Drosophila melanogaster: one gene and its partner. The protein of the gene in region 1 interacts with the protein of each later gene in a biochemical or structural test. Each region holds a gene or a part of one and is shown on either strand. Other genes may lie near its edges.

Region 1 (4,882 bases):
TTACTCTACGAGTAACTGTATCATTAATCAGAGTTTTTAAGAGAACAGGAAAACAACTATAAATAGCTTAAAGCTATAAGGCTCTATTAGAAAATTCGTTTGAAACAATCTTCCAGCTTTAAACTTCTAAAATTTTTAACTTAAGACAGAAAGAGAGGTACAGACTGGTCCTAGATCCATCCTGATCATGAATATACATATATATTTTTAAGGATCGAAAACGCTTAAAATGGTATGTTAGAACTTTTATTAGTCAGATCAGAGTTTTTAAGAGAACAGGAAAACAACTATAAATAGCTTAAAGCTATAAGGCTCTATTAGAAAGTTAGTTTGAAACAATCTTTCAGCTTTAAACTTCTAAAATTTTTAACGTAAGACAGAAAGAGAGGTACGGACTGGTCCTAGATCCTGATCATGAATATACATATATATTTTTAAGGATCGAAAACGCTTAAAATGGTATGTTAGAACTTTTATTAGCACGTGCAGAAATATTATTATGTGCGCAAAATATAACTTACACTTGGAATGTTATCACTATTGCAAACTTGTTCCGATAGCAGTCGATCTCGTATTTCCCACGCAAATATGCTGGGACATTCCCGTTTGTAATCTGCAATTTTTTGCACAACCGGGGTTGTAGCTACTCGTGGCTTTGAACCACCTATAGCTCGAGGTTTTATCGATCCAGTTTCATAATATCTAAAAAAAATAAACTTATTTACATTTTATCTGAGTAGTCATTAAAAGTAGATAATAGAATAAACAATGAATATACAATCAATTTAGATTTGGCTGTATATTTTCTTATTTTGCAAAGAACAGAGAATTTAAAAATACGTTCTTCTTAAGATATGATTTTGATTTTTATGTATTATGATCATAAATGGTGAATGTGTTTCAATAATCAGAGTCACACAATGAGAGATTGGGATGGGGGCCTGATTTCAAATTTTCATATTACGAAAATCATTGATTTTCTTACTCTAAAGTATTTATAATAGAACTGCTAATATCTGATTAGTTCCAATTATGTAACTTAGTAGTCGAAAGCCGTAAATATTCTCGGGAAGAGCAGTGCTTATAGTAAAGTAAAAAAGGACATTCCTCTAGTATTGATTGAAAAATCCTCTTTCCAAAATGTTAGATGAGCACAAAAAAACAATTCGGAGTGCAGTGCTTGTAAATGCGAGCTGCAACTTGTAAAAAGAAAAGCGCAGCGATTCATTAGTGGTGACAATGCTAAACGCCGTCGAAATGTTTAGCGTCGAGATAATAAAAACTATAAGCAAACCTCAGCGTCAACAGTCAACACTTTCAGTTGTAGACATTAAATTAGTTAAATGCAGCCGGTATATAAATATTTTGCGAATGGCATATAGGATTGAATATAGAATATATGCTAAACAAAATAACATAAGTATTAATTAGAAGCCAGGGGAGAAATGTATTTGTTAGTGTTGTACAATGGACAGCACTTGCAATACGGACACCAATAACGCCGTAAAGAGGTTCTTCCAACAAACAAATTTGGCTACTCGCAAAACAGATGCTAAGCAAGTTCTCTTTAATCATACGCAGTCTTACGATCATTGGTTAGTTGATACGAAATAGACTAGGAGGCATTCGGATCTTATGCATATAGAAACTACTGAAACGTTAGTAAGGCCATTAACTTACCAAAAACAGAGAGAATGCTATAGTCGAATTCCCCGACTATACGACTAAATACGAAAGCAAAATTGTGTTATTTTTCTGGGATCCGTTTTTTGCGTTTTGTTGGTGTAAGAAGGGGTGTGGCGAAAGTGTTTTTGGTATACCGATAGAAGACAAACAATAAAACGATTAAAAATCAACACTTTTTTTAAAAGTGTTGGCAATATGGGTCAACAAACTTGCGCTACGTCCATATCTCTACAATCAGTATGCCTAATTCCAACCATCTAGCTTTTATAGTTCCTGAGATCGAGACATTCATACGGACAGACGGAATATATACATACTTCATATGGTCGGGAACGCATCCTTCTTCCTGTTGCATACTTTTCAACAAATCTAATATACCTTTTGACTCTTTGAGTAACGGGTATAATAATCGAATCTTTCATATTTTCCAAATTTAATATCACTCCCTGGTTTAAACGCAGTGCTTATATAATAAAGTCCGAAGTCAGAAATTTTAGCTGAGCAGTTTGTTTGTTGGAGGCTACTTTCGTAGTTCCTGTTTAGTTAAGAAAATGTCATTATGCACTCGAAATGCCTCACCTGCCCAAAATTTTGCTTACGCAACCGTTGGACACTTGTAGTATTCTTGAAATATCACAAGGACGTGCGCCGGAATGAGCCAATTCGACAATTTTTTGACGCGTTGAATCGGGCAGTGGCCGGCCATTAACATATACGCCGCCCAGCTGATTTATTCCGCTATGGCCCGCCGTGGAGCACCCAAATAGAGTACTCTGCCCGACTGACGAGTGGGGATGCCCATGCATTATGTGTTCAGTTGTTAGCATCATAATTAATTATTTTTAATGCGGCGTTGGAGACTTCGACGGTGGCTGACGTGCGTATGTTTATTATTGAAAGTGAGAAAGTAGGATTACTCCCTTTTTCATTGTTGTTAGAAGGGGGGCTTCGTTGCCAACTTTGTACATCCCATATATATTATCTTCTTCACCTGGTAATCAAACTCCAGACTATCACTTCAGACGTTTTAACATTTATCACTTTTTACTTGCCAGGATATGAACTTTCACTTTATGAGTTTTGTTTTAAGTGTGCACGATGGAAAGCGTTAAAGTGTTTTAAAACTGTATCATAGATCGTTTATGAAAATGGTCCCGATATTTTCCGTCGAAAGTACGGGTCCGCAGCCCGGCGGCAGCGCCACGGATGGCGACCTAGTTTATTAATCTGGGAATAATTTGCATTCAAAATGATCGAATAGTGACGTAGGTATCGGTTTAAGCTTGAACAAAAATTTCTTTTGCTAACTGGTTTCAGTGACGAGGTGCGCACTTAGCCAAGCGAAACGTTAATGAGCTCTCATGCGAAAAAACACTGGCAAGAGCAACGGCTAACACATCGGCCAGCCATTTTGGCGGCGTTGCTCTAGTTGTCTCTTTTCATTTGCAGTCAGCGATAGCTAACAACGTTGCTGTTTTCCGTGCCGTGAAAAGAGATAGCTATAGAGACATGAGGAAGAGAGGCATTACAACAAAATCCATCGTGCGCACATCTGGCAAATAGGAGTTGCGTAGGAAAGAGACGGCTATGGAAGAAAGAAAAGTGTACCCTATCCGCTTGAAAATCTTTTTGAAGTTTTGGTTGGTTGTTAAATATATCGTGGGCAACTTTAACATTATGGATTCAGCGATAATAACGCTGGAAAATAAAACTGAATTTATATAAACATAGATGGTTGTGTATATGTGTAAGTCTTATTCATCATTGTATGCATATGTTTGGTTGTGATGATATTTTATCATGTTTAATGCACTTAATCCCTAAAATATTTGATTATATAACCATGTATCCAAAAGTTTAAGAATCTGATCATTCTGAATAACATACAATCTAATCGTTTGCCATACCTTTGTTTTAAAAAAGTATAGAACGACTAGTTATTTATTGCCCTGTATCAATTCCCCATCTTTACGTTAAGTATTATTATATTTCTGATGTCGGTTGTGTTAATATACAAAAATACATTCACATATAAAAACTATGAGTGCATTTTATTAGTTTTAATTTAAATTTAAAATTGAACAGCAATAAAAACGTATTCAGGAAGGTCAAACAGTATCAGGAGTTCAAAATGCCTTGCCTTACCTGTAGCGTGATCTGCGTGACTTGGGCTTGAGATGAAGTTTGTATTGTTAACTTTAAAGAGTATTTAGTATTTGTAAATTTTTTGTTGTATATCTATACAAAATATTAAATATGTAAATACATAAATTGTCTGTTCTGCTACTTCTGCTTGTATTTACATTTTCGATATCTATTATTTACAGAAATTAAACCCCCAAGTAACAGCATTCAAAACCTAAACCACCCCAAAAAGCCACCACTGAGCTTACTTGCTCTCAACATCCTGTCCGACACGTTTTTTGGATTTTTGAAGTCACACGCATCAACGAATCTATTTCCCCTTCCACCACAATTTCCATTATTGTAGTGCCGGCATCCAGTGTGCTGGGCTTCTTCAAAGGGGCATATTCTTGAATCGCCTTTTTGTCATTCCTATTGCGTGTGCCAAAAATTTCATGGCGCATTGTAAAGGTGACGAATCTGATTTTCCTGGAATGTGTGAAAATACCTTAATTTATATTATTTAGCGTAGTGTCTGGGCTGCAACAAATGCATATAACCATTAAATTTTGCACTCATGATATTTGATTTTTCTTGCGTACCTACTTACTAGTAGAGTCTCTATCGATATGCTAAACAATAATTTAGCCACGTCTACTCTAAAGCCTACATTTTGTTTGATGTTTTTTTAATTTCAATATCTTTATCAATGTGTAAAATAGAATGTCAGAAGGAAGCGCCTACATAAAGTATCTGTATTCTTGGTCAGGGCCACTAGCCGAGTCGATCTAGCCCTATCCGTCCGTATTAACGTCGAAATCTCAGGAAATATATAAGCTAACAGGTTGAGATTAGGCATATAGATTAGAGACATAGACGCGGCTCAAGTTTGTTGACCCATATCGTCAACTCCCACAAATCGCCCAAAACCGCCACGCCCACACTTTTGAAAAATGTTTTGAAATTATATCATATTTGTATTAGTTTTGTACATTTTTATCGATTTGCCCAAAAACCGCCCAGAGCTGACAGGCCCAGACTTCCGAAAAATATTTCGATAAAATAAACGCTA
Region 2 (4,975 bases), on another chromosome or scaffold:
GCGAATGGGGAGCGCAAACAACAACTGAAATATTTTTATAAGTCGCAATAAGCGAAAAATAAATAAAGCGAAGGAAACACTGAAAATACAGTCGAGCAAAGAGGCGGAGCCGCTCAAAAGCGAAAACTTAGATTGGGAGACAATTGGGGTGGTAATTGCGTCCGCTGGAATTTTCAATGAGCTCGGGGAACAGGGGTGCGGGGGACCTTGTGAGATATCAAACAATAACTCATACTATTCACAGAGCAGATAATGTGAATGAAGCCAGGCAAGTCGAGCAGCGAAAACATCATCGCAAATTTTAAAGGGATTATGGAAGGGAATCTTCTTCAAGCGCCAAGACAGACATGCTCGAGCATGCAAGCGTAATCGCGGATAGCGTGGAAAATCCAAAGATACCAACCGAAGTACAAAACAAAGTCTAAGAATGTCCACAAACCCAAAAAATACAAAACGGCGACAAACCACCATGCGAATTATCGCTTCCTTGCACTCTCACCAACCAAACCAAAAATAAAGAAGAAAAAAGTTGCCATGGCGTCTATTGTGATAATCAACAATAAAAAGGGGAGGCGCTGGGGGAAATCGGGCGATAAGAGTGCCCAGAAGAGGCAGAAATATGGCACGGCAACCAATAATAATAAATATTGCGCCTAGTATTACTAAACAACAGGGCGCATTTGCCCACGGCGCGTGTGTGATAACGATAACTCAAGCAAATTAAGCGATTGTCACAATAATCGATGAGTGCTATCACCACGGGAAGGGGCAATCAACCGGACATATTACCCATGATTCATTCGTGTGGTTGCTGAAGGTGCTTAGCTAAGCAAAAACTTATCCGATAACTTATATTTATCCGAATCCGATTTACACTGAAAACTGCCTGCATAACATAATATATCGAATTCACATGTTATCGACATCGAATTCAAACCTTTTGACACCTATAGGTGGGGATTTCGAAAGCCTAGTCACAAATAAAGCTAGTGCACGTCTGTAGTAACTATTTGGATGGCTAATAAAAAACTCACCTGTTTGACGTTTTCGCTTGCTGGTTGCTGCTGCAGCTACCGATGAAGTCGATGCGGATGTTGCAGGTTGCCTTAGGATATGCTGCTGTTGCTGCTGCTGCAGTTGTTGTTGTTGTTGTTCCTGGTGACGCGTCCCGTCCGTAGTTGCCGTTACCGTTTGATCGCCGTAGAAGGACGTCGCCCTGACTGAAAGTCCCGCTCCTAATCCCGAACAGAATCCGGATCCCCCGCCCCCGGCAACGGCGTAGTCAACGAAATCGGACGCTTTTGGGGGGTAGGACGTTTTCATTGGCGCATGCTATCCCGCTCGACGTGGTCGGCTGTCTCCCTTGCACTCAGTTGGCTTGCATTGGGGTTTTTGGGTTCCGTTCGCCTTTTTCCGGCCGCTTACAAACTTATGTTTACAAACTATGTTTGTACAAAACGTGGCGGCGAGTCACTGGCGAATTTCGAGTGACACCGTTTGAAATTTCACGTGAATTCAATATTTTAAGGCTTTTAAGTAAAATATTTTACGAAGAGGATATATTTACAAGAATATGCTTTTTTCAAGACAAATACAATTTATGCCAAATTAAAAGAGAATCTGCAAGTAGAGGGAGAACACAATAGCCATTAGCATGGTCGAATAAAATCACGTACCAAAAATATCATATCACCACACTCGCACACCTGCCCGGCATTCATACGTTTATATTTTAATTCGCTTTTGAAACTTTCCATTCAAATGTGTTGTCCAAATATTGACAGTGGAGACTAACTAGTGAACTAAATAACTTTATTTTGCTTTAAGTAATTTTGTAATGCCTTGGAAAGGCTTGTACAGCAACTTGGTAACTTTATGTTTCTTGCACGCAGAACTTCCTCATCTAGGCTCTACTGTAATTGTTTTGTTTTTTACTTGATTCCACTTTTAAACTACGCAAAAAGCGGCGTGAAAGAGAGCAAACTATAAAAACAAGACAAACACATTTCGGGTGTCGAAAAATGAAAACCACAAAAGAACGAAAAAAGCAAACAACAATAAAAACATTTGGGAGATACGCACTTGGCCCCGCACACAAACAACACGCACACTAGCGCACTTTTGGCCCACACGGATACACACCACGAAACCCTTTTCTACGCACTTTGCTGAAAATTCTACGAAGCCCCCTAAAATTAAACCTAATTGGCAACTTTCGTTGCCAAACCCAAAAAACAAATCCACAAAAAACAACAACAAATTAAAGCAAACACAAGCCGGTTCCAAAGTTATTAAATGGATTGCTCAGCGAGTGGAAAAGGGAGAGACAGTTTTGCTGAATGGATTTTCGTTCTGCAGCTGGCGAGTAAATGGATCCTACGGATACCCTTGCCTAATGTAAAATCGAAAAACGTAGCTCAAAAGGTTTTGATGGCCATTATCCGCACAATACCGATTAGTAACTTGATAAATTCACAGCTTTCATTACAGAGATGAACAGTGAGAATACATATTTCAGATGGGGCTTTGGGAAACACAATATCCCTTCGACAATTTACACGCACTCTCTAACTAACGTCTAATACGACGGCTCTTAGTTAACTACGTCGCCGAGAAGAGAAGAGGAAGACGGAGAAATCCGAAACCGGGCTAAAACAAGTTTCTGAAAGCGCTTCTTCTTGCCGCTGTTATTGTCCATCATCTCATTTTGGGTGTAGCCAAAATTAATATTTATGCTCGTTGATTTGTTTGCGGGAAAATTGCAAAACATAAAAGGTTTTCTTTCGTAATATTTCACCGCACAGCACCGCACTCGCACACACACTCACACACACACAAGCAGAGTTCACAAACACCTGCCAGCGAGTCCGGTGTTTATTTATGCATCTTAATTTGTTTTGCACCTTTTTCGCAGCAGCTTCGCCAGTCATATGTATATGCAGATATATATCTTGGCTTTCTGTAGCTGCCACTTCCTCGACGGCCGTGGCTGTATCTTCTGTGGCTGCAACGTCCGCTCGCGAAGCCGTTTGTGGAGACTCTGAATCGAAGAATTGAGGCACCGAAACTTTGTTGCCACAGAGCCGAAAAAAGAGAGCGGACACTCGCCGCTCTTCTCGGCTTCGGATTCTTCCAGGCGCCTGCGCAAGCCCGGTCTCCGCTCTTCCACTACCCACTTCCTGCCGCTCCAGAGAAGGGCTCCACCCCTCAAATTGCGACTTTTAGGGCTCTGCCCGGGGGACGAATCGCGAAATTATTTTTGCTTACTTTCTCTGTGGTTGTTGTTTTGGTTTTTCCTTCCCTTGCTACCCTATAATATCCTGGGTATCCTCTGCTTCGACCTTAACGTAAATGTTTAGGGATTTTCACTTACTATACTATACTATATAGTACTGTCTCTAAACTGGTCTTATCTGTACAAATTTATGATCCGGTATGAATAATTCCAGTAAGGGGTAATCCTTCGTCGGATAGCCGATTAAGTGCTTGATTGCTTACGTGGATGTCCCTGTTCGGGCGCCATCCAAAAGTGTGAGGGGCTCCATTTGACACGTAAGGATTTGCGTCGGCAGCAGAAAGCAGAAGGAAGGGGCGGAGAAAGCCAAAAGGGAGGCCAAGAACCGGCAAAGGGGCACCTTGTGAAATAGTTTTTTTTTTTTTTTGTTTTTTGTTGAGGTGGGTCGAGGAGAGGGGGTTGCGATGTGCGAATGGGCCAAAGTGGTTTAGTTGGGCAGCCGCCGGGTAAAAAGAGGCGCTGAGGAAAACTTGCGTCGTGGACAGACTTAATTACACACATATAGAACGAGATGGAAATGGCTGCGTGGATTGAACACATTTTTAGCCGAGCCAAAGAAAAGGTACGGGGGGTACTTTTCCACCAAAGGATCAAAAGAGAGCATATGGTTTCCAGCATGCTGAAAATAAGGAATGGAGAACAATTCTTAGGAAAACCTAGACTTGAAAAGCGCAACCAAACAAAAGGTAACTAAACTGGTGAATTCCCTATTACTCTTATGTAAATAAGCCAGCGCTTCAAAGAATTGCAATTTCCCCCAAGCACAAAAGTAAAGAGAAGGTAAGCCTTAAACATAATATTATATTTTTGTTTATAATTATGGTAGTTAAGCAACATTGTAATGGGCGGTGGCCTTTGTCATTAAATCTGGCATGGACTTTCGGGGTTTATGTAGCGCAGCAGGATGCGAGTTCGACAAGTCTGTGTCCCCGGGGGTTCCCCGCAGAAGACTTGCTTAACTGCAGCTTGAACGGGTTCTGCTTTCGGTGGCGACGTCAGCAGTCAGTCCTCTGGACTGTGCATCCACACCCTTCTTCTTTTCTGCAGCGACAACGCCACAATTCAATCAGCAATATGGTTGGCAGCCTGGGCATCAATTACAGGCCAATAAAGCTGGGTCCCCACTTACCCCCCACCTCCTAATCTCATTTTCCAACAGCTGTTGGGGGCGGAGACCTGTGGGAGGGACAGCTAACATATGGAAGCTTCGGGTTTTCATTTTTTCTCCCTGTAAGCTCTAATTGACAGCTGCCAAAGTGGGCGAGTGGGTTGGGGGAATGAGGGTTGCGCCGGGAAAACCCACAAGCAGTAAGCCTCACCCCTCCCCCTCCAATCAACTCGTTAAAGTTGTGCAACAATTTCCCTTTAAATGATTTACATAGGAAACCCATGAGGGAAGTGTGAAGGAGAGGGGGCACTCTCTCGATCTCTCTCTTTCGGTATCCTTGAATGGAGGAAAAGAGAGAGAGAGAGTGGAGAGAGCAACCGGCGGCGGTTTCTTTGATGAATCGACAAACGCTGATTATGATGACGCAGCGTCACAGGAGGATAAACGAGTGACAGAAGAGAGAGAGAGAGAGAGAGGAGAGAAGAGAAAGATTAGGAGAGAAGGGATAAGGCAGTTATTTCCATTTCCGCCTGCCAGCTATTGTTCCTCTTTTGTTTTGATAAATGCCAAAA

The links. Proteins that work in one complex are often made in the same cells at the same time.
Region 2: of the proteins of toy (region 1) and Hipk, one has a biochemical effect on the other in vitro, tested with the Drosophila melanogaster proteins (one study listed by BioGRID).

Annotation. Positions count from the first base shown.
Region 1 is NC_004353.4:987,886-992,767, reverse strand, and holds the start of toy (twin of eyeless), read right to left. Parts: upstream 3,044-4,882; 5' UTR 2,517-3,043; coding exon 2,266-2,516; intron 703-2,265; coding exon 522-702; intron 1-521.
Region 2 is NT_037436.4:544,127-549,101, reverse strand, and holds the start of Hipk (homeodomain interacting protein kinase), read right to left. Parts: upstream 3,044-4,975; 5' UTR 2,904-3,043; intron 1,621-2,903; 5' UTR 1,324-1,620; coding exon 1,035-1,323; intron 1-1,034.